Struthio camelus: one gene and its partners. The protein of the gene in region 2 purifies or fractionates together with the protein of the main gene of each other region. This does not show direct contact. Links are inferred from orthologs where the notes say so. Each region holds a gene or a part of one and is shown on either strand. Other genes may lie near its edges. The genes, in order: CREB5, JUN, COP1 and NFE2L2.

Evidence for each region.
Region 1: the proteins of JUN (region 2) and CREB5 purify together in Homo sapiens (affinity purification with mass spectrometry; 5 studies listed by BioGRID and IntAct, counting the BioPlex papers as one, with this or other methods). This does not show direct contact. The link is inferred for Struthio camelus from reciprocal best matches to the Homo sapiens genes JUN and CREB5.
Region 3: the proteins of JUN (region 2) and COP1 purify together in Homo sapiens (affinity purification with western blotting; 9 studies listed by BioGRID and IntAct, counting the BioPlex papers as one, with this or other methods). This does not show direct contact. The link is inferred for Struthio camelus from reciprocal best matches to the Homo sapiens genes JUN and COP1.
Region 4: the proteins of JUN (region 2) and NFE2L2 purify together in Homo sapiens (affinity purification with western blotting; 4 studies listed by BioGRID and IntAct, with this or other methods). This does not show direct contact. The link is inferred for Struthio camelus from reciprocal best matches to the Homo sapiens genes JUN and NFE2L2.

Annotation. Positions count from the first base shown.
Region 1 is NC_090943.1:39,813,268-39,820,802, reverse strand, and holds the start of CREB5 (cyclic AMP-responsive element-binding protein 5), read right to left. Parts: upstream 3,015-7,535; 5' UTR 2,888-3,014; intron 2,243-2,887; 5' UTR 2,171-2,242; coding exon of another isoform or gene 2,161-2,170; coding exon 2,158-2,160; intron 1-2,157. UniProt on the Homo sapiens protein: Binds to the cAMP response element and activates transcription.
Region 2 is NC_090949.1:34,117,729-34,124,117, reverse strand, and holds JUN (transcription factor Jun), read left to right. Parts: upstream 1-3,904; 5' UTR 3,905-4,413; coding exon 4,414-5,358; 3' UTR 5,359-5,866; downstream 5,867-6,389. UniProt on the Homo sapiens protein: Transcription factor that recognizes and binds to the AP-1 consensus motif 5'-TGA[GC]TCA-3'.
Region 3 is NC_090949.1:5,435,664-5,443,031, forward strand, and holds the start of COP1 (E3 ubiquitin-protein ligase COP1), read right to left. Parts: upstream 3,001-7,368; coding exon 2,636-3,000; intron 1-2,635. UniProt on the Homo sapiens protein: E3 ubiquitin-protein ligase that mediates ubiquitination and subsequent proteasomal degradation of target proteins.
Region 4 is NC_090947.1:20,389,160-20,396,426, reverse strand, and holds the start of NFE2L2 (nuclear factor erythroid 2-related factor 2), read right to left. Parts: upstream 3,024-7,267; 5' UTR 1,958-3,023; coding exon 1,868-1,957; intron 1-1,867.

The DNA of each region.
Region 1 (7,535 bases), on a different chromosome or scaffold from region 2:
TATGTTCCCCAGGTTAAATTCGCAGAGGTAGAGTTCAATAAACTGAAGCTATACTATGCAAGAATTTTTTTTTGGGGGGGGGGGGGAGCATTCTGATTGTTGTAAATGTGTAAAGTTTTAGAAATCTTGCAATTTTAAACTTCTGGAAGAGTGCCATCCAATATTCAAGAGTAGCAGACAGAGCTCATTGCCTTTTTTATATACGATATTACAAAACTTCTTAATTTTAAACATTAGTGTGATTCCTCCTAACAGTCTCCTACTAAAAAAATGTAACAATAGGAGACTTGAGCAGTTTCTTTTTCATGCCATAACTTCATTATTTCTGTTTCCTGTTTCACTCAAGTGTTTCAAATACACATTGAAAGTTTTGAAACTTTGATGATCTCCATATACGCAAACAAACATAAATCCCATTTAGGCTGAAAGAACCTAAGTCTATAGACAGCAGTAGATACTAGTCCTTCACAATTCACGTGTGATAAAGAATAATGAGAAATCCCTGATTAGTTATCACAAAAATAGACTCCTTACCATTATCTGCAGAGTACAGTCAGGTCCAAGTTGTTTTGTTCAACCACCACACCAACTGTTCTTTCTTTCAAGTGACTTAAAAAAAAAAAACAACAAACCTTTCCCAATGATAGCTGGGAGAAAAACTACTGAGAGCTTTTAGGCTTTAGTAATTAAGGCCATCAGAACTGTATTTTAGTAAATCAGAATAAAACAGTTCAACCAAGGGCTAGGTCCCTGGCTATACTATTTGCCGCTCTCTAGTTCCCTCCTTTCTCTCACTGTCTCTTTGAGAAAATGAGACTAATTTTTCCAGTAGCCTTTAACTCGCTAGATTAACTGACATGGAAAATGTGACTAAAAACTTGTAGAACTGTCTAGCCTCCAACCCAGCACAGAACCAACTTTGTGTTAAGTGCTGAAGGACACCTAGCAAGCTACTACTTGCTAAGTTCATAACCCAGGACTATATAGTCACAAAGAACGGGACTGCGCCATCTAGTTAGCTGCCAGCAGGCTTTGCTCTGCCTGGCAGAAGTGGGTACCTTAGGATGCAGGGCTTGAGCGCTTATGAACGTTCAGTTTCTTCAAGAAGCAATTGTTTTTTTAGGTAAAATATCACTACTGAGATAATCCACATCTAGTGGATATGGGAAAATTCAGGCTATAATAGCACGGCGAACTTCTACATCCAACTTTGATTTACAAGATAAAAGCAACTTTTAAATTAAAGAGCCTTTCTGCTAATAGAGCTTATTATTCCAGAGACAGGAGTGATTTTCCTAGAAAGTTGTCCCTGTGTGCCTGCCTATTATCTTTGCTTTCCCCCTTCCACTAATGAGCATTTATCTAAAGAGCCTGTTAATCCTCTGATGTGTGCTTCTGGTCAGAGGTAACAGTTTGAATAAAACCACTAATCACTTATCACTAATCACTGATCATTAATCACACTTTTCCCCAGTGCTTTGCGACCTGTACAGCTCCCTTAGGATTAAGGAGTCACAAACAAGTATTTTAGACTTTTTTTTTTTTTAAAGAATTTTCAGCTTTTTGCTACCGGCCACCTCGTTCACCACACGAAAGTTACAAAACGCCAAGCGGGGACCTTCAACACCGTACCCTTTTCTACTGAAAATCAACCATTCTGTTACAACAGCGTGCCTCGTTCAGCAAAATCCCCGCGTTATTACGTTACGTTTTTGCATTCGGCTCTCACCCTCCAACCCTTAATATTCTTTCAGTCTGCTTTCTGGCTTACTTCTGCATGACAGCTCCTTACAAGAAACTTTTCCTCCACCGCTTGACGCACCGCTCGTTCTCCCGAGGGTCGGGCAGGGACAGCCTGCTGCCAGCCGGCGGGCGAGCGTCTCTTGGAGGACTGCAGGGTCTCCAGGAAAGCCCAAAGCGAGATGCTTCTCAGAAATTACCGTCCCTCCGTCCAAGCTCTACTTTCGGCTAGCTGTTTCTTACGGATAAAACCTGGGAAATCTTCTAGCCTGGCTAAGGGGCTCCTAATACCCTTCCGGCTTTCACGCGGCACATCGGCACGTTCATTTGGCTCGACTCGTACCCCCAGCTCTGCACGGCTTCTCTCCTCCCGACGGTACCGCTCGCGTTACGCCCTGGGGATGAAGGATCACTCACCATGCTTGGACATAAATAATAGAGCAGGCAGTTTAGCAAGTATTCCCCTTACGCTCCAGCAGCGCTTAGCGTCCCGAGAACTTCGCTGAGGAGAGAGAGACGCCTGTGAGGAGCAGGGCGGCGGGGCCGCCGAGCCGGCCGGGCAGCGCGCTCGGCCGCCGCCGCCCCCCGCCGCCGCCGGCCCCGCCGCCGCTCGCCGGCCCGCAGCATGACGTCACGGCCCGGACCGGCCCGGTTCCCAGCGATGTGTCAGAGCGGGCAGGCGGCCGCGCACCGCGCCGCGCCGCGCCGCGCCGCCGGCGACCCCCGCCCGCCCCGCCGCTGCCGGGGTTGCGGCACGGGGCGCCGCGCCGAAACTTGGCCAGAAGTTGGCGGCGAGCGGGGCCGGGGGAAGCGGCGGCGGCGCGGGCGCAGAGCGGGGCTGTCACGGCGGAGAGACGCGGAGCGGCCGCCGGAGCCGCCGCTGCCCGCCGGCCCCCCGCACGCAGCCCACCCCGGTGCCGCGCACGCCCCCGCGCCGTCGCCCCGTCCTGCAGCCCCGCGAAGCGGCGGCGAGTCCCGCCTGCGGAGCGGATGCTGCCGGCGGCAGCGGCAGCGGCGGCAGCAGCCCCCCGCAGCCTCCCGGTGGCCGGCGGCGCGCCGCCTGCAGGGATCCCTGCCCCGCGCCGTGCGAGCGCGGGGCTGCGCGCACCGCCGCGCGCCGGGCGGCCCCGTATTTTTAGGAACTTACCGCACAAGTGCCGAAGGGACGGGACCAGCAGCCCGGCTGAAGGAACCACGTTGGACTGAGGGAAGGTTACAATACGTTCTATTTAGAGAAGCATTACATCACCCTCCGTGACGTCACGTGGGATTCCTGAACTTCTAAATCATTGCGGTCCGTGCCGGGGCGGGTGGGGGGGCGAGCCGCGCCGAGCGCGCGGGGCGGGGAGGGGGCGGGGCTTCGGCGACCCCGCCCCCGGGGCGAGGGGCGGGGCGGGGGCCGTGACAGGGGGTGAGTCAGCCTGGAAACAATGTCCCGCCCCGTGGCGGCGGCGGGGAGAGCCGGCGGGGGCGGGGCCGGCGGGGGAGGGGCGGGGCCGGCGGGGGGCGGGGGCGGGGCCAGCGGGCAGCCCGGGCCGGCGGGGTCCCGCCACCGCGCGGCCGGGGGCGGCACCGGCAGGGGCGGGGCGGGACGGGGCGGAGCCGCTCTGCGCCGGTGGCCCCGCGGCGGCGGGACGGGCTGCGCGGGGGACCTGGGACCTGGGCTGGGGGTCGGCGACCGGGGGCTGGGAGCAAGGAGTGGGGGAGGATCTGGTACTGCGGATCTGGGACCAGGGGCTGGGGATCTGGGACTGGAGTTCTGGGACTGGGCACTGAGGGTCGGGGGCTCTGGGGACTGGGGGTCCTGGGGCTGGAGGTCTGCTGCTGGGGCGCTGGGACTGGGCACTGGAGATCCAGGACGAAGGATCTGGGACCGAGGAGCGGGGCTCTGGGACTAGGCAGTGGGGATCTGGGGACTGGAGATCTGGGAGCGGTGGCTGGAGATGTGGGGCTGGGGCTCTGGGACTGGGCACTGAGGATCTGACGCTCTAGGGACCTAGGACTGGGGATCTGGTACTGGGCCCTGAGGAGCTGGGGACTGGGCATCTGCTACTGGGGCTCTGGGCGCTGGGACTCTGCTACTGGAGCGCTGGAGCCGGGCGCTGGGGATCAGGGACGAGAGATCTGGGACCGAGGAGCGGGATCTGCTACTGGGACTCTGGCTGGGGAGCAGCGTTCGGGCGGTGGGGACCAGCCCACCGGCCATGCGGGCGCTGCCGAGGTGGCTGCTCTTCGCCTGGCGCCCGCCCGTGCCAGCAAGGCCTGCGCTAAGCGGAGACTTAACTCGTTAACTAGTTTTTGACCTAGGAAACGGCTACCAAGTCGCAGCGGGAGGACAACCTGCGCCAGCAGAGCTGCAGCCCTGCGAGGGTGCGCACCCACACCGGGCCGGGCTGACAGGCACGCGGTGCCCAGCCGGCAGGGCCCAGGCGCCACGGCGTACCCCGGGGCACCGCCGCTGCGCGGGACAGAGGCTCACCTGGACTAACGACGCATTTCGCTGCTTTGCAAACGCTTAATGTTAGGCGTGCAACCGCCAGCACGCATATCTTCCTAATCATGTGGGGGCGATGACCAAAGACAAGTTTATTATTCCACCCTAGAAATAGTTCACTGCCTTCCTCGCCTGCGTTTTATTGTAAAGTACTTCATAACTCTCAGCCTGATACTCCTCTCCGGTGCCTCTGGTCTGCAGGTTCCTCTGGCAGCGAGCTGTACGCGCTGCAGTTATCTGGGAGATACTCTTATCAACAACACACGTGGTGATTAGCTGTGTTTAACTGCTGATTCACGCCAGCAAGCATGAGTTAATTTTGATGCAGTGTTTTAGCACCCAAGCTGGGGATGAGTCAAGAGGAAACCTCTGCGTGTCTGCGCAGGGTCTCAGGATCTGCACATGTTTTGCTCAGTTTGTTTCTTTCTGATACTCAATTAGCAGAGGAGAGAGTAATTAATATAAGATTGCCAAGATCCAGAACTGCTTTACAAATGGCAATAATACAGCACATTACTCCTAATAATACCGTTCCTTTGCAGGGTTATTTCTATGAGGCTTTTTAACAGTTGTTCTCAGCTTTTAACAATTCACTGGCACTTTATGCAGGATTTAAGCAGATAGAAACGGATCCTATCACTGATGATAGGTTTTGAACTCATTTAACTACTTATGGTAAAGGCTCAGTGTTTCTGTGGCTGCAAGCCTTCATTTTGTCAAGCGTTATCCTTGGAAACCTCATGCCAAGGTTTGCAAATGCCTTACCTCTAAACATTCTGAAATTATAAACTACAAAGATGACTAAATTAATAGTTGCAGCTCCTTGTGCAACAGGGGAAGTGTTTTAACGTACAGAAAGCCCTGCAGTGTTATTTAAGGCCATGACAAAAAGATTAAAAGTGCGGGAAGCAGCTCTGTGTCTCTCATTCAGATTTCATCACACAATTTATGTACTTGCACTTTTTTACAGACAGGCAGCCGCGACGGTGTGGGAAGCTATGGCTGTTCCCGCAGCAGGCGCAGTTCTTTCGCCAGGATTCTCCGTGACACCAGAGTGAAATTGGTAATGAATGAAAATTCAAGGATAGTAGGGTCCAGATATCTGTGCAGTAAGAATCACGTACGGCAAAATAGAGGTAAAAGCAAACCAAATGCTAAAGGAAGTGTTAGCCATTGTTTGATGTTATCTGTAATATAACTCGTGTTATTTATAACTGCTGATGCTTTTTTATTAGTGATATTCTAGACTCTAGGTGACTTCAACACAGATTATAGTGAGTAAATAATAGGACCCTCTTGGAGTGTGCACTGTGCTTTAATTTACTGATTTTGTATTGAAAGCTCCTGACCTGAGTATTCTCCATGTCTCTCACCTTGTCCAGAGCGTTGTGCAAAAAGACATTTCAAAAATAAGAGCACCACGTAGGTCAGATTAATAGCTGTATGTGCCACATACCTATTTGGACAGATTTCTACCACTTAAAGGAATGGGTAACTTGCAGCAGTAGTTTGTGTTTGCCAGCCCCGGGAAGGGCGATGACCAGTGCTTTGATAGGTGGCTACATCATAGGCTTTTGCTGACAGCAGAGCAGAGAGATTCTTGATTCCTGCAATGAGTCTCAAGCCCTGAGGTAAGACTCTTGACTTCTGAAATGAGCTGTAGGTCCTGGAGGGGAACGAGGGCCGAAGAAAGCTCCAGTTCCTCTTGTAAATCTGCTGCAATATTTGTCACGTATCCTTGCTTTTTCCTATGCCTAACTTCTTCGCTTGTCGCCATCAGCTGCTGTTGCTCTCATCCCTCTTGCAGCTCTCTCCTTGCCTGTTTCTGCCTGTTACCAACCTCCTCTCTATCCTAAGCTGTCTACTTTCTCACTGCCCGCTGATCTCTGACCAGGACTGTGAAAGAGCTTGGTTTTGCTTTGTTTTACGTTCGCTTTCATGCCTGGTGGCTGAGCAGCTAGTCGTAGAGGAGAGTTAAGACTCTATCGGTCCCATCAGCCTTAGGACAGACCATGCTGAGCGGAGAAAAAACATTCAGAAAACAGTAATTGCTGAGATCTTCCTTGCTGCAAACGGAGGGGTGATCATATGACAAGAGGAACTTCCCTGCCTGCAAAGTTGCTGCTTTCCAGCTGAGCTGATGCACGTTTGTGTGTTGTCAACGTGAAGAGCAACACTTTAACATGAACTCCTATACAGGTGGTTTAGATTAGCATATTTTATTCGGCAGATCAGGAACATATGCAGATCAGGAATGTACGACTCAGCTGACAAGCTGTAACTTGAGAACATACTCTGTATTGGGGACAAATTTGAGCAAATGTTAGAAGTTAATCAAAGGCATATCCTGTGACAACAAGCTGAGCATTCTGCAGTTCCTGCTCCAAAAGCACTATATGTTCCCAGGAGGCAACCTGTGGGATTGGGAGTAATGTTAAGCAAAGAAACTTATTTTTTCTAGAATACTGTTTCTGGAATGATTAAATTTGGGAAGAAGCTTTCCAAAATACTGCAGCCTGAGGCAGACACCCAGTATGGAAAACTTCATCCTGAATGTTTCAGAACTGGGTAATGTTTCAAAGTGATTGAAGAAACTTGTAATGAAAAGTATTCAGCAGTCAACTACATAAGGCATGACCTGTTTTATCTGTAATGCTGTTTCATAATTAATTTGAAGTTATAAAGTCATATGCTTCTTTTCTATTTTTATACGCAGGCTCTTACAAAGCTGCTTCCTTCTGATGGCAAAATCACTACTGAAATACTTATCTGTATTATATGTTCTAATAAATGTTTTCCAGACAGGTCTTTGTCATTTTGATTCTTTAATTATAAAACCTAAAATCCAGAATGAAGGATGTGGTCTTTACAGTGGTAGCTTAATTGGTATGAAAACTACTCAGACTTTTGCAGTGAAATGAATTAGAATGACATTTTCTTTGAATGATAGTAAATGACAGTAGTGCTGTTTCAGCAAACACCTAAAATCTTTGTCATGTCATTAAAATCACTAGTAAGTAAAGATATTAAAATAATTATAGGAGTTTTGTATGTCAAATATCGGTTTCAGTAAGACTCTATTGCTGTCACATAAAATTAATATTTACTGCTGGCGCAGCTGAATATTTTACATACCTGTTCTTCCTATAACATCATTAACTACATGTTTAACTAAGCTGCTGCCAGCATTGAGCATTACTCTCAGTTTTGGCACTTGCAATTATCTCATTACAAGTACTTTTTAGCAATATCTTATAGTCTAATCGAACAGTAATTTATTCACCTCCTTACATGCTACTAA
Region 2 (6,389 bases):
CCTAAAGTAATAGCTGTTTAATAAATTAGGAGCCTAGTCACCAAAATTCCCAGCTCCTTGGCTGATGGCCACGAAGGATCACTGCCTCCATACTCACGGGGCCTACTTCTGTTTTGTGATCTGTGGCACTGGGAGAATCTCAAATGGTAAAGTTGGCACTTAGCCGAAATCTAAGATGAGACTTCTGTCTTCAGCCAAGCACCTGGTCACCAATCGTTCCCACATTAGACTCAAAGAGGTGGAAAATCCCCTCAGAACAAGCAGCAATGAAAATCTGTCTTCAATTCCAGAGCCTCCTGCTACGCACAACCTTTATGACCAACTTGAGTGCCTATTGCCAGCCTGGACCAAACAACCCCTAAGTGAGTAGCAATTAACATAATGAGTGGACTGATGAGCGTCCCGCATAGCTACAGGCCTCAGCAGCAACATGTCCCTAGCAAACTGGAACGTCTAGTCCTGAAACTCCACCTTTGTAAAAGGAAGGCAGTCGGAAACTAAAACGGGTGGGGGAAAAAAAGAAAAAGAAATTAAATGACTTAAGTGAATATCTCCATCCCAATCCAACACTCACTGAAGCTAATGAAAACCTTGCATTGATACTGGGGGGGGGCTGAACTGGACCAACCATAAGGGAGTAGTTTTTCAGATTACACACAAATTTATTAAACAGAGCAGTTAAAGCTACAGTGACCACACTCCAGATTTGTAGTCTGGACTTGGCTTTCTAGGACAAAATAGACTTACAGAAAAAAACAAAAACACAAACTGAATAGACAGAACTCTGACAAATTAAATATGTCAACAATTCACTGGAATGAACTTAATTAGGATTATTTGCCTATGCCAAAAACTGACCAAAGCAAATGATTTGCACAGGTTTCCTATGTAACAGAAACCAGGGGGAAAAAAAAAAAAAAAAAACTTTTCAGCTTAATTTAAAAATTATTCTTATTCCATAATAAAAAACTGCCACACAACAAACTACTTAAAATTCCTGTCTTACCTTTCTCCAGAATTTCTTCCTTGCACAGACAAGCCCTTTATAAACATCCAAATTGTACACTGACACAACACAGAGAGATCATTTACAGTATATCTCGGGGGGGAGTTTTAAAGCAGCAAGAACGTAAGGACAGCCATATCAGGTCCAACTAGATACCCTATCTCTTCACAGTGGCCAGCAACGGATACCTAAAGAAGCATATAAAACCAGGGAAAGCACACAGCAGTTTTGCCTCAGGATGCTCTCACAGACACAAGTCATTTGCAGCTTTGGGGTTTCCAGAACCAGAGACGTATTGCATTCAAGAGCCCTTAAGGGATTTTTCTTCTGCAAATTCATCTAATCACTTTTAAAGCAACGAAAACCTTTAGCATGCCAAGGAGCTCCACAGCTTAACGACGCATTCTGTGGAAAAATTTTGCTGATTTGTTCTGAACCTACTACCTGCCTACTACCTTTGATTTGATGCCCCTTGGCTACTGGGTCAGAAGAGTCAGCGACTGGCCTCCATTTATCCTATACATAAAGATTAAAAAGGAGCTAAAGAGCTGCATTAATGAATTTAAGAGATTTTCTTATGCATATGCAGTAATTCATGCTGTTTTGCAAAACAGTATGCAGCTGAAACTACAGTGGTAGTCGAGTTGTTCTGCGCAACCTGCCACGCAGACATGTTGCCTACGTGAAGATAGCATGTATACCAACAGCATACAGAAGGCCACTAATTCAAGGGCAAACTTTGTAATTTATACTATGGATTGTTAACACAAACGTACTAAGAACTGCAACTGGTATTTGCATAAAGCCAATCAGCTTACAAAGTAACAACAGTGCTGACCATGTGGTCAAATGTATATACTGACTGAAATCAGGTGGGAACACTAGGGGGAAAACAGCAAAGAAAAATAAACAGCAATAACTTAAGAACAGTGGAGTTATATGTTCACTTTTATTTCACAGCTGCTTTTGCTTCTGTTTGTTTCATTATTGTTTCCTATACTGTAACTGGTAATTATGTCATTACGTCTAGGGGAAAAAAAAAATAGGACAGAAGAATTTGAAAGTGTATTTTCAAACCTAGACATAAGTTTGTTGGCTTTACATACTATAAAAAGTGATTCAATTCTGCAGACCACCCTGCAACAGAAAACTTCTTTTACAAGTGTAAGGAACTGCTGCACCACTCACATGATACTGTACACCTCTTCAGTCCCTGTCCTACCCTGTATTGTCACTGTCCATCCTTAAATAGCAGCTGCACTTTATCCCAGAGGTGGCTGCATGTCAGCTTTTACAAATTCACACCACCCGAAGAGAAGAGGGTGTGCGGCAGGGTGAGGAGGGGGAAGGTCAGGAAATGAATTCAGGCAGTAAGGCACACCCTTTTATTAGAGAGATACACTAAACTAATACATGCAAGTCTCTCATAAGACTAGCTACGATAAACTAGGTATTAGCCAGCTGTTGCTCTAGAAAGAGCATGTCAGCACAGACTTGACGCTCCTTGCTTAGGGCCCTTCAACTCCCCCCCCCCCAACCAACCTGTACTTCCACAGTAATATTAGGACACTCTAAAATTAGGCTGTCGTTGTCCCCTCCCCTCGGAGGATGAGTTCAGAGAAGCCCATCTGGAACTAGGTTTTTTCCTTGTCTTTTTCGTTTGGTTTTGTTTTGCCCCCTCTATCTTTCCGGCAAGTCCTGAGCCCAGGAATTGACGCCACCGACTAAGATAATGGCAATCGCGCCCTTACTTGCATCCCCACCTCTCCCCCGCGGCCATCACGAGCTATTAGACAAAACGCGCGTAACCGCGTCGTAGGGCTAGTGGCGGGCAGGGCCAGGGCACGGGGGCAGGCCGGGGGGCCGGCCCGGCCCGGCGGACACCCCTCCGACCGCCAAGGGGCCGTTCCCGGGCCGCAGGGGCCCCCCGCCCCGTGACGCGGGCGGCCGAGCCGCTCCCGGAGTCCCTCGGCGGCCGCCCTCCCCCCGGCGGCGGCGGCGGCTCGCGGGGCCCGGCCCGGAGGCGAGGCCGCGGAGGAGGCGAGGCCGCGGAGGAGGCGACGGCGCGGCCCCGGGGCGCCCCTCCGCGCCGGCAGGGCGGGCCGAGGCGCTGGGCCGCGTGGGCGGCGGGGAGCGCCGCAGGCGCGTGGGCGGGGGCCGCCCCGCGGCGGTTTGTGCCCTCCGCGGCCCCGCGCGCGCAGCCGCCTCGGCCCGGGCGCCGCCCCCAGCCCTGCCTGGAAGCCGCCCGGGCGAGGGGACGGCGGGCAGCAGGGGAAATCACGTGAGGGTTCTCCCCCCCGCCGCCGCGGAGCACCGGGAGCGCCACCTTAAGGGCCGTACCACCCGGCGGGGGAGGGCGCGGCCACGGCCAGGGGCCCCGCCGGCGCAGGGCAGAGCGGCGGCCCGCCCTCACCCCGCCGCCGAAACAAAACACAAGTCTAAAAAGCGGGGGGGGAGGGGGGGAACAAACGGCGGTTTAACAGCGGCGGCTCCGGCGCGGCGGGTAAGTCGGTACCTGCCCGCCGCCACCCCCCTCCGGCCCGCGGTTGGTACCTGACCGTTAAGGAGGCGCCCCCGCCCCGCCCGCCGCCGTCCAACCCGGCGCGAGCTCTGGGAGCGGGTAACCAGATATTCAAAACAATACGTCAGCCCACAATGCCCCGAGCCGCCGCCAGCATTACCTCATCCCACAAGGCCCCGCGCCGGCGCTGAGAAGCTTCTAGGGGCGGGGTGGCTATGGAGACCGGTTGATATGCAACAGGCCGGGCCAGCGGCCCGCCTCCCCCGGGAGATGCGGCGGCAGCCAATGGGGAGCCCGCGGGGTGACATCATGGGCTATTTTTAGCGGGTTCCCAGTCGCTGATAAGTGAAGGCTCCACGCCGGGACAGGGCTCAGAGCGCGCGGGGCGGGCGGCAGCGCGGCGCCAGCGCGGAGCCGGGTACGGCACGGCACAGCACAGAGCACGGCCGGCAGCGGCTCCGCCGAGGGGAGCGAGCGGCGAAAGGCGAGGGAGCTCCTGCGCCGGGGACGGCGGCTTCCGCGGCCGGGGAAGTACTTGTGGCAACTTGTGGCGGCGGCGCGGCGCGTCCCGTCCCGTCCCGGCGGCGGCGGCGAGCGAGGCGCCCCGCGGCACTGTTCCGTCCCTCCCCAGCCCCGCGGGGCCAGGCGGGCTCCCTGCGCGGCGGCAGCGGCGGCGGGAGGGGGCACCAGCCCGCCCGCGCCCCGGCGAGAAGCGGCGGCGAGCCGGGCTGCGCCCGCTGCCCCGAGCCGCGCGTGGCCGGGCCGCGGAGCCCGAGGCAGCTGCGCTAACGCCAACTTCCTCTGAGCGGGACGCGAGCGCCGGCGCCGGCCGAGCAGCTTCTCTCCGCTGATCGCAACTTTGGTACAACTCCGCGGACTGTGTTCTATGACTGCAAAGATGGAACCTACTTTCTACGAGGATGCCCTAAACGCTACTTTCGTGCCGCCGGAAAGCGGCGGGTATGGATATAATAATCCCAAAGTGCTGAAGCAGAACATGACTCTGAACCTATCCGATCCTTCCAGCAACCTCAAGCCTCACCTGAGGAACAAGAACGCAGATATCCTCACCTCCCCCGATGTCGGGCTCCTCAAACTGGCGTCGCCTGAACTGGAAAGGCTCATCATCCAGTCCAGCAACGGGTTAATCACCACCACTCCGACCCCAACGCAGTTCCTCTGCCCCAAAAACGTTACTGACGAGCAAGAGGGGTTTGCGGAAGGCTTTGTGAGAGCTCTAGCCGAACTGCACAACCAGAACACCATGCCCAGTGTTACCTCTGCTGCTCAACCTGTTAACAGTGGCATGGCACCTGTGTCTTCTATGGCTGGCAATAATAGTTTCAATACTAATTTGCACAGTGAGCCTCCAGTGTATGCCAATCTCAGCAACTTCAACCCCAACGCACTCAACTCTGCACCTAACTACAATACAAACAGCATGGGCTATGCACCTCAACATCACATAAACCCCCAGATGCCAGTGCAGCATCCCAGGCTTCAGGCTTTGAAAGAAGAACCTCAGACTGTACCTGAAATGCCAGGGGAAACACCTCCCCTGTCCCCTATTGACATGGAGTCACAGGAGAGAATCAAAGCTGAGAGAAAACGTATGAGAAACAGAATTGCAGCATCCAAATGCCGGAAAAGGAAGTTGGAAAGGATTGCCAGGTTGGAAGAAAAAGTGAAAACTTTGAAAGCCCAGAACTCAGAGCTGGCATCCACTGCCAACATGCTCAGAGAACAGGTTGCACAGCTAAAGCAGAAGGTCATGAACCACGTCAACAGCGGGTGCCAACTAATGCTAACACAACAGTTGCAAACTTTTTGAAGAGACTGACTTGAATAAGAACTATGATACCGTGGTAGAACTAAACAGAAAACCAAAAGTGGCAGATACATAAAGCTAATGGTAAAAGCTGAAAGGTTGAGTCCTGCCTGTGCTCCGCAAAGCGCATGTGTGGAAAGACTGGCAAGCCTTCAGCTTGAGTTAGTAGTGAAGCAGTCAGCACCGCTCCAAGAAGTGCTGTTCCTGCTCAGATGAGACGTCAGATCTTCGTTTAACATTGACCAAGACCTGCATGGACCTAACATTCGATGATCATTCAGTATTAAAGGTTAAACTGCAATAGAAACTGTAGATTGCTTTCTGTAGTATTCCTTAAGAGAAAAAAAAAAAAACACAGTGGGAGGGAGGTTTGTGGGAGGCTGATCAACAACAACAAAAAAAGAACCATTCTGCCTGCCTTCAAGTAAATTGTGTATGTACATATCTTTTTTTATTTTATTTTATGAAAGTTGATTAATGTCAATAAACTACTTCATGACTTTGTAAGTTATTTTTATGTTGTTTATTTGGGCACTGCCCAGTATTGTTTGTAAATAAGAGGCTTTTTTTTCTTCCTTTTTTTAGCACTCTGAGTTTACTGTTTGTAATAAAGTATAATTTTTTAATGTTTCTGTTTCTGGAAAAAAATCTAGAAGGTTCTATTATATTTAAGAAAATAAAATAATTAAAATGCATTTCCCCCTCCCACTTTTTTTGCCAGTACCTGAGTCAGGAAAATACCCTTTATTCTGACCTCAAAAGGTAGGGATTACGTTAAACTTGTAATATACAACTACAGGCATGCCCTGGAGAATGTGTGAGGAGTAGAGGGAGAAAAAACATCCTGATCCTTAAAGGAATATAACCTTTTGAATCTTCATTATGTTGCAGTTCAGAGTCTTAACTTGATTAAACTGTTTGCCATATTCTAGTGGCCCAGTTTAGAGACCTGATTTAAAGTTAAGCAGGTTGGAGAAGGGTCAAATGCCATTGCATGATATTGCCCCATGCTGTAATAGTCTGAACTGTGACTG
Region 3 (7,368 bases), about 29 Mb from region 2:
AAGAAACAGGCAGACAGGTTGTGCACATTAACACTACTTGCAGTATTTCCACATGCGCTTTCGTGTACACAACTCACACGAACTTCTTTATTCTTTCCCAATTTCAGTCTGATGCAGGCAGAACCTATCACAGTGTTTACAGTTGCAACACTAAAGAGTAATTCATAGCCTGTGTTCAGAAAGATTATCGAGTGCTCCCTGCAGCAGGCAGCGTCCAGAAAGTATCCTTATAGAGAGGATGGCAGACGGGAAAATTTTGCCTCTCAGACTGAAATATCCAAAGCTTATTTAAATCAAGTATTTAAACAAACACACACCTGTCTTCTTGGACCTTGCTCAAAATTCCAAAGCTACCCAGCTGAGTTTTATTTCTATACTGCATAAATATAATGCTACCTCAAAAATAACTTTTGTTAAAAGTAATGCTGTAATTTGAAGCTAACATTAACATAAGGAAGAAGAAGCTACACTGCCCAATGAAGTGCATGCCAATGAAGGACCAGACAAGGGAGCTATAATCACTATTTGCCCTTGAAGCTGCTGATCTGCACGCAAATATGCCCAGCACGGTTCTCTTGTGAACACCAGTAAGGAGGAGACAGGAAAAAAGAAGAGAGGGGAAAGAAAAAAAAAAGTTTTGCCCAGATCACTATTCTGTTAACTTTTTCTTCTCACGCTTTGTTCAGCCAGCAACACTCTTCACCGAGAGGAATAGAGCTAATTATATGCGTTATTTTTGAAGTTTGCACAGAACCTACCTGTGGGGAAAAAAAGAACTAAGAAACTGAGCTTTTTGAACTGACTTAAAACATTTCAACTGTCATCAAAAAAAAAAAAAAAGAAAAGAACTTATTGCGCTAGACTTAATTTCCCCCTGGTTCAAACTCCCTTATTTCTATGAGCAAGAAAACATTAAGTGAAAACCGACTAGAAGAGGAAAGGAAATGATTGCACACCACTACTGCCAGAGCATAACTGTAGTGGAGGCAAACAGATAGGGACACTTATCTCCCACGACCAGAAAACATGCAAGAAACAACAATACAACCATCTCCCAAACTAGGTGTCCTAAATCCACTTATCATGGCCTAGCATTTAGGCAGAGCAGGAAGCCAGCCGACTAAGGCTACACTCTAATCCTAATTCTGCTACTGGGCAAACCACTACTTACAGTGGTAAGGAGGAATTCTTGATTATTGCTTGTTGCTCTTCTTTCGGTGACTAGCTTTTCAGCAGCTTCAGGTTCTCCTTCTAGTAACAGGGATTATATTTCCCATCTAGTCTCCTATAGGGTTTACAAGGTTTGCAAGATCAAGTTTGCCAGGTTTTGCTAGAGTGCCTCTCCTGTGGAGATGCCGAATACCTAATCTGCATCCAAAAGTTAGAATGAGCAAACAAGACGGTCTTGGAAGCTGTTACCTACTTTTATCCACTTTTCTTTTTAATCATTTCTTTCACATATGTGACTTTTCAATAAAACAAGTTTGTTTCTAATATCTCTTCATCAGTGTTTATCTCTCTCAGATGCTACCACCTACCCTCATTTTCTGTTCTTGCGTTTTTAATATACATCTAGTCATATATAAAATTAAACTTACTCCTTATGTCAGGAGGTTTGAAGCCCATAAGCAATAGCATCTTTTTAAAGCTGCATATTACCAACAGCTCTCAAACCAAATATAGCGAGGCCTACCACTTTTGCAGAAAAGTTATTACCAATTACAACATACAGTTTTGGCCAAACATTAGAAAAACAGCATCTGAATGGCTTCAAGGAAAATCTTTATCCCATCATCGCAGAAAGTTTCTACTCATCTGGTTTTAGATGACAGATCGATACCTGATACAAATACTATTATTACTTCAAGTTAGCTGTCCTTTCCCAGCAACAGAGGAAAAACTCATGCCAATTTTGTGAGCACTATTAACTGCCTCCAATATCAGTGACCAGGGGACTTATTTTCAGATCCTCATCTGCATAAGCACAGAAGTCCTCTGAGGACTCTTTCTTTTCATAAGGTCATAAAGGGGCAGTAAGAAGACCTAGCCTCCCTCCAGAGAGGCCATCGCACGTGCAAGAGGCTGGAGCTGCTCTAGTCCTTTTCAAGGCTACACTGCCTGGGAGAAAAAAAAAAAAAAAAAGGAAAAAAGAAACATTTGCTTGCGATGTCAACAGGCTATGAAAAACCGCTTAGCGTCGCAGGCCCTTTCCAACGAGCGCAAGTTCCGCTGCGCTGAGGCTTAACCCGCCGAACGAGACAGGAACCTTCTGGGACTAACCTGAATTTTTGTTTGTTTTTGTTTTTTAAAAAAACAAAAAAAAAAACAAAGACACACACGCATCACAACACTGATACAAAGAGCCAAAAAAGCAACCAAACACAGTCACAAGGCGGGGGAGGAGGGGGGAGAGCCAGAAATCCCTGCAGGACAGTTACAGACCCCAACACACCTTCCACCCCGGCGAGCCGGGCAGGGCCCCCCCGCGGGGCCCCCCCAGACCCGGCCAGCGCTCTCGGCGGCGGCCCCGGGGCGGCCCGGCCGCGCGCAGCAGGCCGCGACGCCCGCGGGAAAGGGGGCGCCGTGTCGCCGCTATGTCGCGATACACCGCCCCGCTCCCCTCCCCCGCGCTCACCACACGAAGTCGTTGCTCTTGTCCTCGTAGGAGTTGAGGAGCCCGTTGCAGAGCGGGGCGAGGAGCGGCCTCTTCCTGCTGCCGCCGCCCGCGCCGCCACCACCGCCGCCGCCGCCCGCCGAGGAGGCGCCGCCGCCGCCGGGCCGCGCCGCCGCCGCCAGCCGCGCCAGCCCCGCGCCCGAGCCCGACACGGCGGCCGCCACCAGCACGGGCCGCGCCGCCGCGCCGCCCGCCGCCGCCGCCGAGGAGGAGGACGAGCCCGGCGCCATGGCCGAGGAGGAGGAGGCGGCGGCCGGGGAGGCGGCGGCGGCGGGCGGCGCGGCGGCGGCGGGGTGCGGCGGCGGCGGCGGGCGGCTGCCCGACATGCCGAGGCCGGGCGGAGCGGGGCCCCCTCAGCGCATCCCCGCGCGGCGCCGCGGGAACAATAAAGTTCGTTCAAAGAAGGGGGGGGGGGGGGGGGGAGGGAACCGCCGCCGCCCCCACGCCCGCGCGTGCTCCCTCTCCGCTAGCCTCTTGTTGAATCTTTATTGACAGGCGAACACTGCCTCGCGCATGCGCGCGGCGCCGCCGCCGGGCGGGGCCTGCTCCGGCGCTGAGGCGGCGGCGGCGGCGGTGCTGAGGGCCTGCTCGGCGCCGCCGGACGGCACCGTCTCCACACGGGAGCTCACGAATTATAAAAGGAAACAAATTCCCTTTACCCGCCCCCCGCTGCCTTCAGGGGTTGAGGGCCGCGTCGGCGCCAGCCCCGGGCCCTCGGCGGGGCCCGGCCTGAGGCAGGGGCCTCGGTGACAGGCCGCTGCCGCCTCTCGGCTTGGCCCGACGGCGGGCGAGGAGGCAGAGCTGCGGGCAGAGACCGGATTTCTCCTTTCATTTCTCTCCCCCAGAAGCATCCCGCCTGCTTTACATCAAGCCTGTTGTCTGCTGTCAGCTTTTCACCTGCCCAGAGATGTGCGAGGTGGCTGCTGAAAGTCTAGGGCGTTTTCCCTGAGGACGGGTAATCCTAAGGCCAGGTCCTGGGAAGCGCCCGGAGAGATCCGCGCTGCGGCAGTCCTGGGAGCGCAGGTGGCCGAGCGCACCTGCAGTCAGGCGTAAAACCAGCAGGAGAGCTGGTAAAACTGGTCTGAGAGAAAAAGGTGGCTGCAGGTAGGCATTGCTGGTCCGGAGAAGTCTCTGGCAAGCAGCGGGAACGCCTGGCTTTCCCAAAAAGGGCGCAGCAAAACACAGCACTTGGATTGAATGTGGAGGGGTTGATGCACACGGACAGTCCTGGAGGGCTTGTCACTGACCTGCCCTTCCAAGCTTGTTTAAATACGTTTAAGGTATTTGCTTCTGTGTACTTACCCCTAATGTTGCAAAACAAACACACAAACAAAAAAAAACCCCACACACCCAGAAACAGTCTAACAAAACCAAAACAGTCTGTCTGCAGAATGTTAGTACAGAATAAATCAGTGCAAGCCAGGAAATTCTAAGGAAGCTTCTCCTTATCGTTCAGATTAGTAGCCTCACCTCTACAAGATAACGTGCCATTATAGTCACTTCTGTAATTGAAACCTGTGCTGCTGCAATTGAAAGTTTCCTGTTTGTAGTTCTTGGTGTGTTTTTTCAAAGCAAAAGATTCTGTTCCGCTACCTTCTATAAATATCCTCCTGACCTTGGCAAGTCACAGGACTAACTCCATAAAGTCATTAAAACACATCAGTTCCCACTGGTTTCAGTGGGAGTTAAAGAGAAGTGCCTAAATACCTTTCTTTGAGCCCAACTGTTGATGTCTGTGTGCCTCATATTTCCTTTTGCTAAGAGAAAGAAAAGCACCGTGTCCTTGTCTTCCAGAGGGAGGAAAAGCTTTGTGGATGAGTGTCTGCAAAGGACTGTCAGATTTTCCAGTGGAAGAACAAAGTAGCAGTAGTAGTAGTATAGGCAATAACACGTCTACATGCTTCATGTTTAGTGAAATATTGGCTGGTCTTTGAAAAGTCTAGCTATTCTTTGGTACTTCATGTTACTTTCTGAGCTCCAGGGAGAAAAAAATGACGCAGAGAAAAGCCTTTAAAGATCAAACATTCAGAAGTGGAAATCCAACATAAATATGAAAGAAATGGAGGGGCCAAATCATGCCCACTTTTGCCCATGTGTAGTTAGGCTCAACAGCCACATCTCCACCCCCACGGCTGGTAGAGAGTGTGAAACCCAGCACACAGCACCAAAAGATCAGTTCCCCAATACTCGAGCTTTTAGGAGTTCACTGTGGACTTTCGGAGGCCCCTGAAGCTAAGACCTTCTCTTCTCTGCCCTGATATATACTGAACAGCCTCTGGCTCCTGCATCCGAAACGTTTCTTTGTTGGGGTTACCTTGCAGTACCAGTTCCCAGACCAATTTATGCATCCTAAGGGAAGATTATATGCTACCTCTCGGCGACACCTGTGCATTGTGCTGGAATAAAGGGCATGGCAAGTCTCCTGGTTTTAAAGTTCACCACAGCAAGCGCTGTGGAGCGCCGGTTATCTTCCAGTCCCCGCTAGCACAACATGAGCACTAAGAATTAATTTACTACCGTCTAAATATTGACAACGCTGTTATTAGGCTCAAAGGCAGAGATACAAAAGGAAAATATTATAGATTAGCTGTAAGAGGTTTTTCGCTGTTTCCTCCAGTTAGCAGCATGCTGGACGCTTACGCTGCCTCATGGTTGAGATCCCATACTTAAGCAAAACTATGGTGCTGGGTTTAGTGCGGTGACGAGAGGCCCGGTGCAGAGATATCCGCACCCTTATATTGCACACTCTTCCTAGATTCCTGTTCAGATTCAAACCTGCCTTCAATGGATTGCTTGTGTTTCCTCACTTAATCTGGATATTACCCTCGTATGTCCTCCTCAAGAACTAGTCATTGGGCCTGTGTGCCTTTGAAGGCATGCGGATCACAGCAAGGCAAGCACCTCTTGCCCAGGCAGTAAACAAGAACTGTTAGTCACTGCCCTGAAACTTAGAGAAAAAACAAAATAGACAGTTACTGTGGGATAAACTGTCTCCAGCCCTAGCCTTTAGTGGCGAGTTTGTTTTATACAATGAAACTGATATTTCTAATAGACGTGCATACTGTCAGCGATACTCTGGGAGTAATGCAAGGAATTCAATAATAGCTCTTGGGTGCCGGCACACAGTAGGCTGATACTGTTTGGGGCTTTGGGGGACTGGCTGCAGGTGTCGGTCTGCAGGAACACCATAATAAAGATTTTCCTCTACCTCTGAAACTCCAGTTGATTGTATTGTACCAAGCCAGCGTAGGTCTAGTGATCGCTTTTGTGAAAGAGACATTTCCCACCTCTGGTCAGATGTAATTACTCACTCTGCAGACCTAGCTGAAGTAAATTCCAATATGACAGAGACGTTCTCCTGCACTTTCCTGTTTTGGAAATCTGTGCAGAGCCTCTACATTTTAGAAGACTTTTCTCTTACATGGTTCTATTTTCCAGCCTCCAAAGCTGATTGCTGACCATGGCCTGAACAGTGGTGTATTAGTTCTTATCCTGTGCGAGGAGGGATGCACCAGCTCTAAAGGAAGGAATAGACAGATAGTGTCTATAGTTGAAGGAACCTTAAGAACAATATAGGTTCTGCCCTTCTGGGTACATAAATCCTACTTGTTATAAACCCTGAGTCTGTGACTTTTACGACAACATCTCCATTTACCTCCATTTACCATTCACCTACAACAACAGGCAGTTGCAGTGCTCATGCCTGCTGCTAGCCCAGCCAGAGAAATAATTGAGAACATGCTGCATGTGGTCACCAGGGGGACGGCGACTTTTTCCACGTCAAAGGGTGTGTGTGCCAGATGTTTGTGGGAAGTGACAGTCCCCTCCAGGCTCGGCTCCTGATTGCCAGTGACTCATTATGGAAATTACTCTTCCATACGCTTCCGTACGCTTCCATTTCTGAGGCCGTTGCTGCCACCTAATTCCCACTGGGTCTGTTAGTCCACTCAGCAGTGCTGCAAACGCTGCTATGACCTGCCACCCCTGGCTTGGGAATTGCTGCTCCAGAGGGCTTTAGAGAGCTTTAACCTCCCAGCTAGCCAGTGACAGGAATGCCATTTCTCCCATTTTCTAGCCAAAGAAAATGAAGCATGGACGGATTCCTCACCTGGTTACAGAGTCGATGAGAACTCTTAATGCTCCATAAATCTGAAAATTAGGCTGTCAGCAACTTCTCCTCGAGCAAAACTGCAGCAGAGCTATCCAGAAGATGCAGTTTCTACCTGTTAGGTACCCTCCTTCCCCTATTTACTGGGAGAAACCTGGACATGAGTTTCCAAACTTGAACTCAAGAAGCCCGACCCAGAGATGTGGGGATCTGGAGGGCATGATCAGACAGGCCCTGGCACCCAGCGTGGAGGGCTTCCCCTCAACTTAGGGTGCTTAGTGATATTTATTATAGTTACAGTTATGCACGGTTACTAGCAAAGGATTTTTTTCAGTTCTTTATAACAACACTTTACCACTTCCAGATGGAACTTTATGCATTAGCCCTTGGCCTAATTCCAAGTAATTGCAGAGACTCTGAACAAAAGCGGTTTGGCCATTTTAAGAAATGGAGAGGCAGGAAAATAAAATATTAACATTTACCATTGTATCAAAAAAGTTCTGATCCTTAAAAAAAATTCTTGGTATCTGGGAGCGGTCTGGTCCCTTCACCACAAGCTACATCCTTCAGGTCTTCTAAAGTGGCC
Region 4 (7,267 bases), on a different chromosome or scaffold from region 2:
CCTGGGGGGAAACAGCAGGAGTGACATTCTCCTCTCTGGCTCATTAATCTCTAGAGCCAGAAATATATACATATTTCCTTTTTCCACCACATTCGGTCTGCCTTTAGCTGACTGGCCATTTCTGAAACAGCAGCTAGATCAGGGCATTCTTGCTCAGTATCTCTCTGCAGAAGATCGTTTGGCATTCTATTTCATACGCTCCAAAAGTAGCCAGGTTGTCCTAAATTGTTTAATCAATGTGTATTTTAGCAGGTAGCTTTAAAATAACACAATTTTAATATAGCGGATGTGCCTTCCAGGGGCTGAATGCTATGGAGATTGAGTCTCCCTCAACATCTTAAAAAAAAACAAAACAAAACAAAAAACCACGTTGTTTGAAAAATCTAATTTTACTTTTCCACAGTTTACTTGGCTAGTATAAAAATGCGTGGTTCCAATCCCAGTTCTGGTTGTGAACCTTATCTAGTCTCAACATTCGTGATGAGATAGATTAGTGAAGTAATACTACCACTTGATTAGAACTGAACACATCAACGTATTGAGTCCACTCCTCTTTGAGTTAAATACATCTTTTAGGTTTAGATAAAAACTTCTGCTCACATTCTGAATCCCTCTTTCAGCTTAACAGAGATATTTATTTGCTACTTCTTTACTGTATCTTTCATCAGTAGGATTACAAAACGATTAAGTCGCACTTATGTGCGCAAAGTTAATACACAAGTTGCATAATGAAATTGGGAGGCTCTGGCAAAAAGATGAGATTGTTTTAGAAAAGAGCGCATTAGCCTGCATATTTGTTTGTACATGCTTGATGCATCAACAAAAATCTGCCCTGCTGCCCCAGCAAATAAACTGAGTGATTCTACTGTGGCTTACTTTCTAGCTGCTGTACAACCACCACGTACTGGACACATCGTGTAACTCCATTTTAAAAGGTATTCAAATAGCAGCCATCTCAGACAGAAGTCTGCTTCATTTCAGGAAAAGTTGGTCTTAATAGCTTTATTTGTTTTTTCTCCCAAGTTAAACTCAAAACTGCACCATAACAAAACTGGCATTTATTGAATTTGGTTATTTTTACATGAAGGGCCAGGATTTTTTACTGTAAACAAATAATACAAAAAATACGTACTTGAATTTAACCAGCATCTAAAAATACCACTGACCTTTTAACCAAAGGAACACATAAGCCTTTGCATCCCAGTCCATTTTATATATTGAACTTATGGTATTTGGAAAACAATTACCTGTTAAATGATTATCTTCAAGCTATCCTGCCGTACCCTGCCAGGCATGTACTGTGTGTGGACATTGCCACAGGCTACCCATTAGTTTATCTAGGAGAGGATTTGTTTATAATAATGGTTCAGTCATCTGGGAAACATGATCCAGTCAAACAATAGCATGCTCTTACAGCCAGCGAAACACATCAGGAAGTAAAAAAGATGAACACAGAAACAGAGAATGGAATCTAATAAAATCGCAAATAATCTGTTTATTAGGTTATATTAACCTCAGGTTATAACTTCATGGCCACTGTTTTAATGTCACTAGGATTACCCACTTTTTGGAAAGGCATATTTCAAGCCAAACATGAAAACATAGTGCATTTGTTCTTAGATCAAAATGTTCTCAAAGATTATTTAGAATCTTAGCTGAACTGCACATTGTCACTGCACCGGGATCTCTTACTACAAAGCCCCTATTTCTAGCTGCCATTTTGCTGCTGGCTGGGCAGGTCGCGGGGACAGGCACCAGATGGGTTATTACAGCTAAACTACTGCCTGGGTGCGGAAATAGCGTGTTCTAGTATTACAAGAAGCATTTCTCACCAAGTTTCACTTCACTGATCTCACAAGCAACTTACTTTTATTGCTGTTGGTCGTGGGCAAGCAACTGGAATATCAGTGTGGGTTAGAAGAGCGTTGAGGTTTACTAACTGTATGCCAGCACACATCTATCAGCCCTCATTCAGTAACATACATATTTACTTCATAAGGCTGAATCAAGGACATTCTTCCATACTTCCAAACTGAGCTGACAAAGAAAAGAGCAAGCATGCTTTTAAATGAAGAGAGCTCACCACACAAACACCTCACGAGCCTAGAAGTATTATCTTAAGAATAAAAGCTTAAGAATAAAAAGATTAATAATTGAAAGGAGTTTAAAGGAAAAAGAGAGCAGAGTTTGTTTTATATTAAAAATACTCCACTAAGAGAACATTAATGAGGTATGCACACTTTTAGGCACTCCAACTGGGCAACAGAAAAAGCAGACAGAGAAAACTGACATAAGTCATAAACCCCAATACCCTTTTTATTTCTGAGACAAACTGGACTGTCATCCTGGTCCTCAAAACAGCCTGCAATTCACGGACATGGACACAAGTGAGAAATGTTGCCGTTCTATTGGGATTAGTAACTTTGAAGTAAATTCACTGCTTTAGGAGTTATGTTATTTTTAAATGCAGCACTGTAATGTTTTCTACAAACGCAAATACAATTTGGACAACAGAATTTGCCAATGGCACTGATATCTGATACATCCACTCCACATAGTCTTCTCAGGCAAAAGCTCTACATTTTCCTCCTCTTTTTCTTCTGCCTCTTTACTTTTACAGTACAGTCCTAGAAAATGAGCCAATCAGTAACGCACATAGTTACTGCACATAGCACACAGTAACACATACAGTAACTACATAGTAACTTTGCAGGGATTACAGTTTGCTCCAGTGGTCAGTTGTGACATGCTCTGTGTACCCCAGCCCAGATCCAGCAGGGTATTTAGAGCCTACCCCCCGCTGCAATCTGTGGGGCACAGGTGCTTTAATTCCTTTGTGGATCAGTCTTGCAGCTAATGCATACTCTTCACATACATTACTTTTATACATATGAATGATGGGAATTCAGTGCCAGTGCACAGTTTTGAATACAGAAATAAGTAGTGTTCAATGTAATACTATATCAGAGAAATAAGTGGCAACTATGTATTTCTGATTGCCCTCAAGCATATGATGAAGGGAAAAGCTCAGCACAGCTCATTTTCCTTTTTTTTTTTTTTTTAAATAAAGTGTTCAACTTCAAATACACTTAGACAGGTTGTTCCATTTCTGTGGAGGAATAAAAAACAGGAAAAAAGCCGAAAATACATTGCTATTCGATTGCTCACATTTGACGCTACAGGACCTTAAGAGATTTGGGAAACAGGGTTCCCTGTGTGGCAAATTTTTGCTATGGTGACAGTTCATCTTTCAAAACAAGTAATTCATGATTAAATGGTTTATTTATGCACAGCCTTCACTAGTGACATGCTTCAATTTACTATGCACAGCTTTCATTAGTGACATGCTTCAGTTTCAGATAAGCATCATTAAATAACTATATTGTTCAACTGTGCACTATCGAAGTAATCAAAAATGTTCTTCCTAAATTTACAAGAAACAGCATAGAAATCCTTACTAACTTTGTACAAAATGAGTTTGCTCAGCCTCCCAGCTTCCTTCAGCCATACCAAAATACATGATGAGAATTGTTTTTCTCTATAATGAGGAAAGGTCAGATTTTCTTTGCTCATTTTCTTAAACACTGAAGTTCACATATCTCTCAGTAAAGAACAATCCTGTTAAAAATTATCAACCCTTCCTCACTAGATTTTTAGAAAGCTCTTATACTTAAAGGCCCTGAATGGTTAAAACCATTAAACCAGAAAGGTCAAGAAAGGCACAGCAGATGTCCAAGCACCAATTTATCATTTTTGTCTACGATGACAGCATTTGCATAAAGAAAAGGTAAACCCAGTTAGGAACTGAGTAACGCTATTAGAAAGCAAAGCTTTGTTTCTGTGTTGTGCAACCCAACCCTTACTTTTTGAAGTCCTGCTCATTATTCAATTTATAAATCGAAAGCAAAAGGGGCTAACTCATATTCCAAGACATGAACCAAAGTAAACTGTTTCATATTTCTTACCAAATTATATAAATGCAATAATGCTTGAAACCCTCCAGAGAACAACAAACCCCCCTAAACTCAACCATCAATAACTCACTCTTTCCACACAAATCAACAGCCTCTACTTCCTACCACCTTACTTGTGGCCTCCTTGTCTGCCTCTCGCGTAGATAGGAGTCTCCCTGCCTCCTGGATCCTCCTGGAGTCAGCTATGTGGCTTTTCCACTACCATAAAAGAAGTCAGTTATGACAGGCCTGCCTCTTTCAGCCTACTGATTAAACGGACAGATGTACCTAGGAAATCAAGGTAGAAGCCTATTCCCGATGTGTGTCCCCTCACACACTCTACCAGCAGCTATGATAACCAAAACAAGACTGTTTTCTATGAATAATAAACATGTCAATATACCTCTTCCATCCATAAACAGTAAAAATTTTCCGTGCATGTCAAGATGCTTAACAAACCTTCAATATTTGGGGGTAGAGGAGGAGAGGAAGAAGAGAAGCCTATCCAGTTTGTGAGTATATTACAGAAAATCAAGAAACTTTAAATCCAAAGCAACTCAGTGCAGTCTGTTAAACATTTATTTTTAGTTAATGACTTGGTCTGTTATCTGAAAAATGAACTGATCTCTTGGACGTTTATAAAGCAATGTATTTACACAATACATGTTAACTTAGTTAAGTTCAAACCTTAGACACGTGCTGGTTGAGTGCTACATACAAACAGTTTAAGAGGGCAATTCAGAGCATTTCAGATATTTTCTAGAGCTGCAAATTTTATCTCGCATGACCACCAGCTGCAGTTTGATAAGGCATTCCACAGTCGCTTCTGAAAGGAGAATGTTGGACTGTGATAAAAAAAAAAATACAGGTTGCCAAGAGAATTAGGGAAAGAGCTAAACTTCCTTTTTCCTTCAGACTTTTAATTATTCTGTATTCAGTGAAACAGCACAGCTAATCAACTTCTATCCTGGCATAAAAGCAATCAATATTTGAAAATAGGAATTGTTTTTATCTTCTCAGCTTAGCTGGCTTCTTACTCCAGTCTACATTGTTTCTCCTGCACCCATATCATCACAATAAATTTTGGTGAAGAACGTTTGATTAATTGCCCTTTGAATTCTTTAATGCTTCTTGTTATGTGAGCCAGATACCTTTTCTCTGTTCCTCTTCTCGTCCATCACGAAATTCCCAGTTCAGGAAGGAAAGAGGTGGTGTTGGTAAGCCAAAGTAGACTCTTTCTAATGGTAGAATAAGCCTAGCAACAATGTTCAAAGTTTTTAATTCATTCAGTTTGTCCCTTCTTTTTTGCCTCCTTTGCAGAAAAAAACACCTTCTTCCTTATATCTAGGGATTCAAGGAAGTAGCTTACCCCTTTTCCTCTAAGTTTCTGTATGACGACTTTTACAGCTGGGTTTTGAGGAGAGCTTTACTAGCTGCCGTTTGAGAAAGACATAGGTATTTTTTTAAAAGTTACCCTAAGTGGCATAACAAAGTGAAAAGAAAATCCTTTACAAAGATCCCATTTCAAGAGCAGAAGGGGTTGAGAAGAAACAGACTTACCTTGCTGCCTCTGAAGAAAGTGTCTAATCTCTAAAGGCAGGGTGAAACATCCCAGCACACTGCAGGCGTATCTATCAGCAGCTGAAGGACAGCAATTTGCTGATGTATGAAATAGAAAGTAAGTGTAACTGTCCTGAATATCTGCTGCCAAATTAAAGTTTGTGTGCTGAATCCCCTAATTCGATAAAATAAATTTATTTGGCAGACTGTTTCTAATATCAGCATTTACTGCTGATTTTTCTGGTAGAAGGCAATATTAATTTAATTGCTTTCCAGACAGAATTAGAATCAATTTGTTAAGCAAAAGGAATAAAATTAATCTGTAGATGACCGCTTAAAATCTACAGTAAATACAGAATTCAAAGAATTTCAGGTTTGGATCCTGGCTGAACAGTTTTCTGTCTCTGACAACTGGAAAATCAGACTGAAGCAAGCTGTCAGTAAAAAAATCACAAAACTCCAAAATTTCTCTATAGCACAGTAATTCACATAATGAGACACAGATATCTTGTTAGGGTAAATCACTATTCAGTCAAATATTAAGTGTTCATTCTGTCATTACTATTTGCATTTTATAAGACCTTGTTCATCATATATGCCACATATACACACATGATTTATTAAATATACTCATCCTCAGGTTTATTCCACTTTGCATTTAAAATAATTTTATGTCTCTGATCTTAGTAACACAGACATTTTCAGGATAATCTAAAATACTTCAGTGATTTGTTAGATCACCATTATAGTTTCATTATTTAAGTGAGTGCCATTCTTCATTTTGCCAACAGAAGAAACTGAGACATGATGAGATATGTCCACACTGGTTATCAGATGAGCAAGGATTCCCGAGAGTGGTTTGCGCAGACTAGATTCCTGAGGTGGCAGATGATAAAGGACCACAGCTCCAGCTGGAGAATGTTCAGCAGAACTACAGAATTCCACCGAGTCACAACAATTTATACTAGCTGAAAAACTGACACAACAGTTCTATAAGATTCCAGTTCATATATCCAAACTGAATTAAAAATCACAATATTAAAAGCCACTGTACAGGAATTCTCTGTGCTAGAGCCTACAAAAGTATGACACACCTCAACATGATACGTATTTCTACAGCCAAGAATTCAGCTTAAACAATTTGGAAAACCAGCTGTCAGAAGTTAGTATGACTTAGTTTCAGATGTCAGCTCTGTTTTATATATTATACTATTTTAATAGTACTAGTTTTGCTATTAAAATACTTCTGGTTTCCATCCTTAATTTCTTAATCCTATTCATTTCAAAAGCTGGGTTTTTATTTTTACTTATTTTACAAATATCAGTGGAATAATCTTCCAAAAACTCCTCAGCTGACATACAGTCCTGGTTAATGCCTCTCTACACTAGAAAAAGTAATAAGTGCAACTATAACTCAATGTTATGAAACATTTTTAAGAAATATATCCACACACCTCATTTCAAATAGTTCACAGAAGATCACCCGAGGCTCTACAATACACTTGCTCCAAGGACATCTCATGACTACAATATCTTCATTTGTATAAGTGCCCCAGTCACTACTTCTGCAACATCGGTGAAGACAGCCGTTAGTGTAATAAGCTATGGTGGAACACTCTCACTGACAAACCTTGGATGACCTCTGCAACTAAACTTTGTGTTTAGTTCCAGGGATAAAGCTTCTGAAAAATTGTTACCTGTCTAAAGCTGACCTGCGTCAACCTTCAGAGGCCTTTACATATATTCTCTCTTTT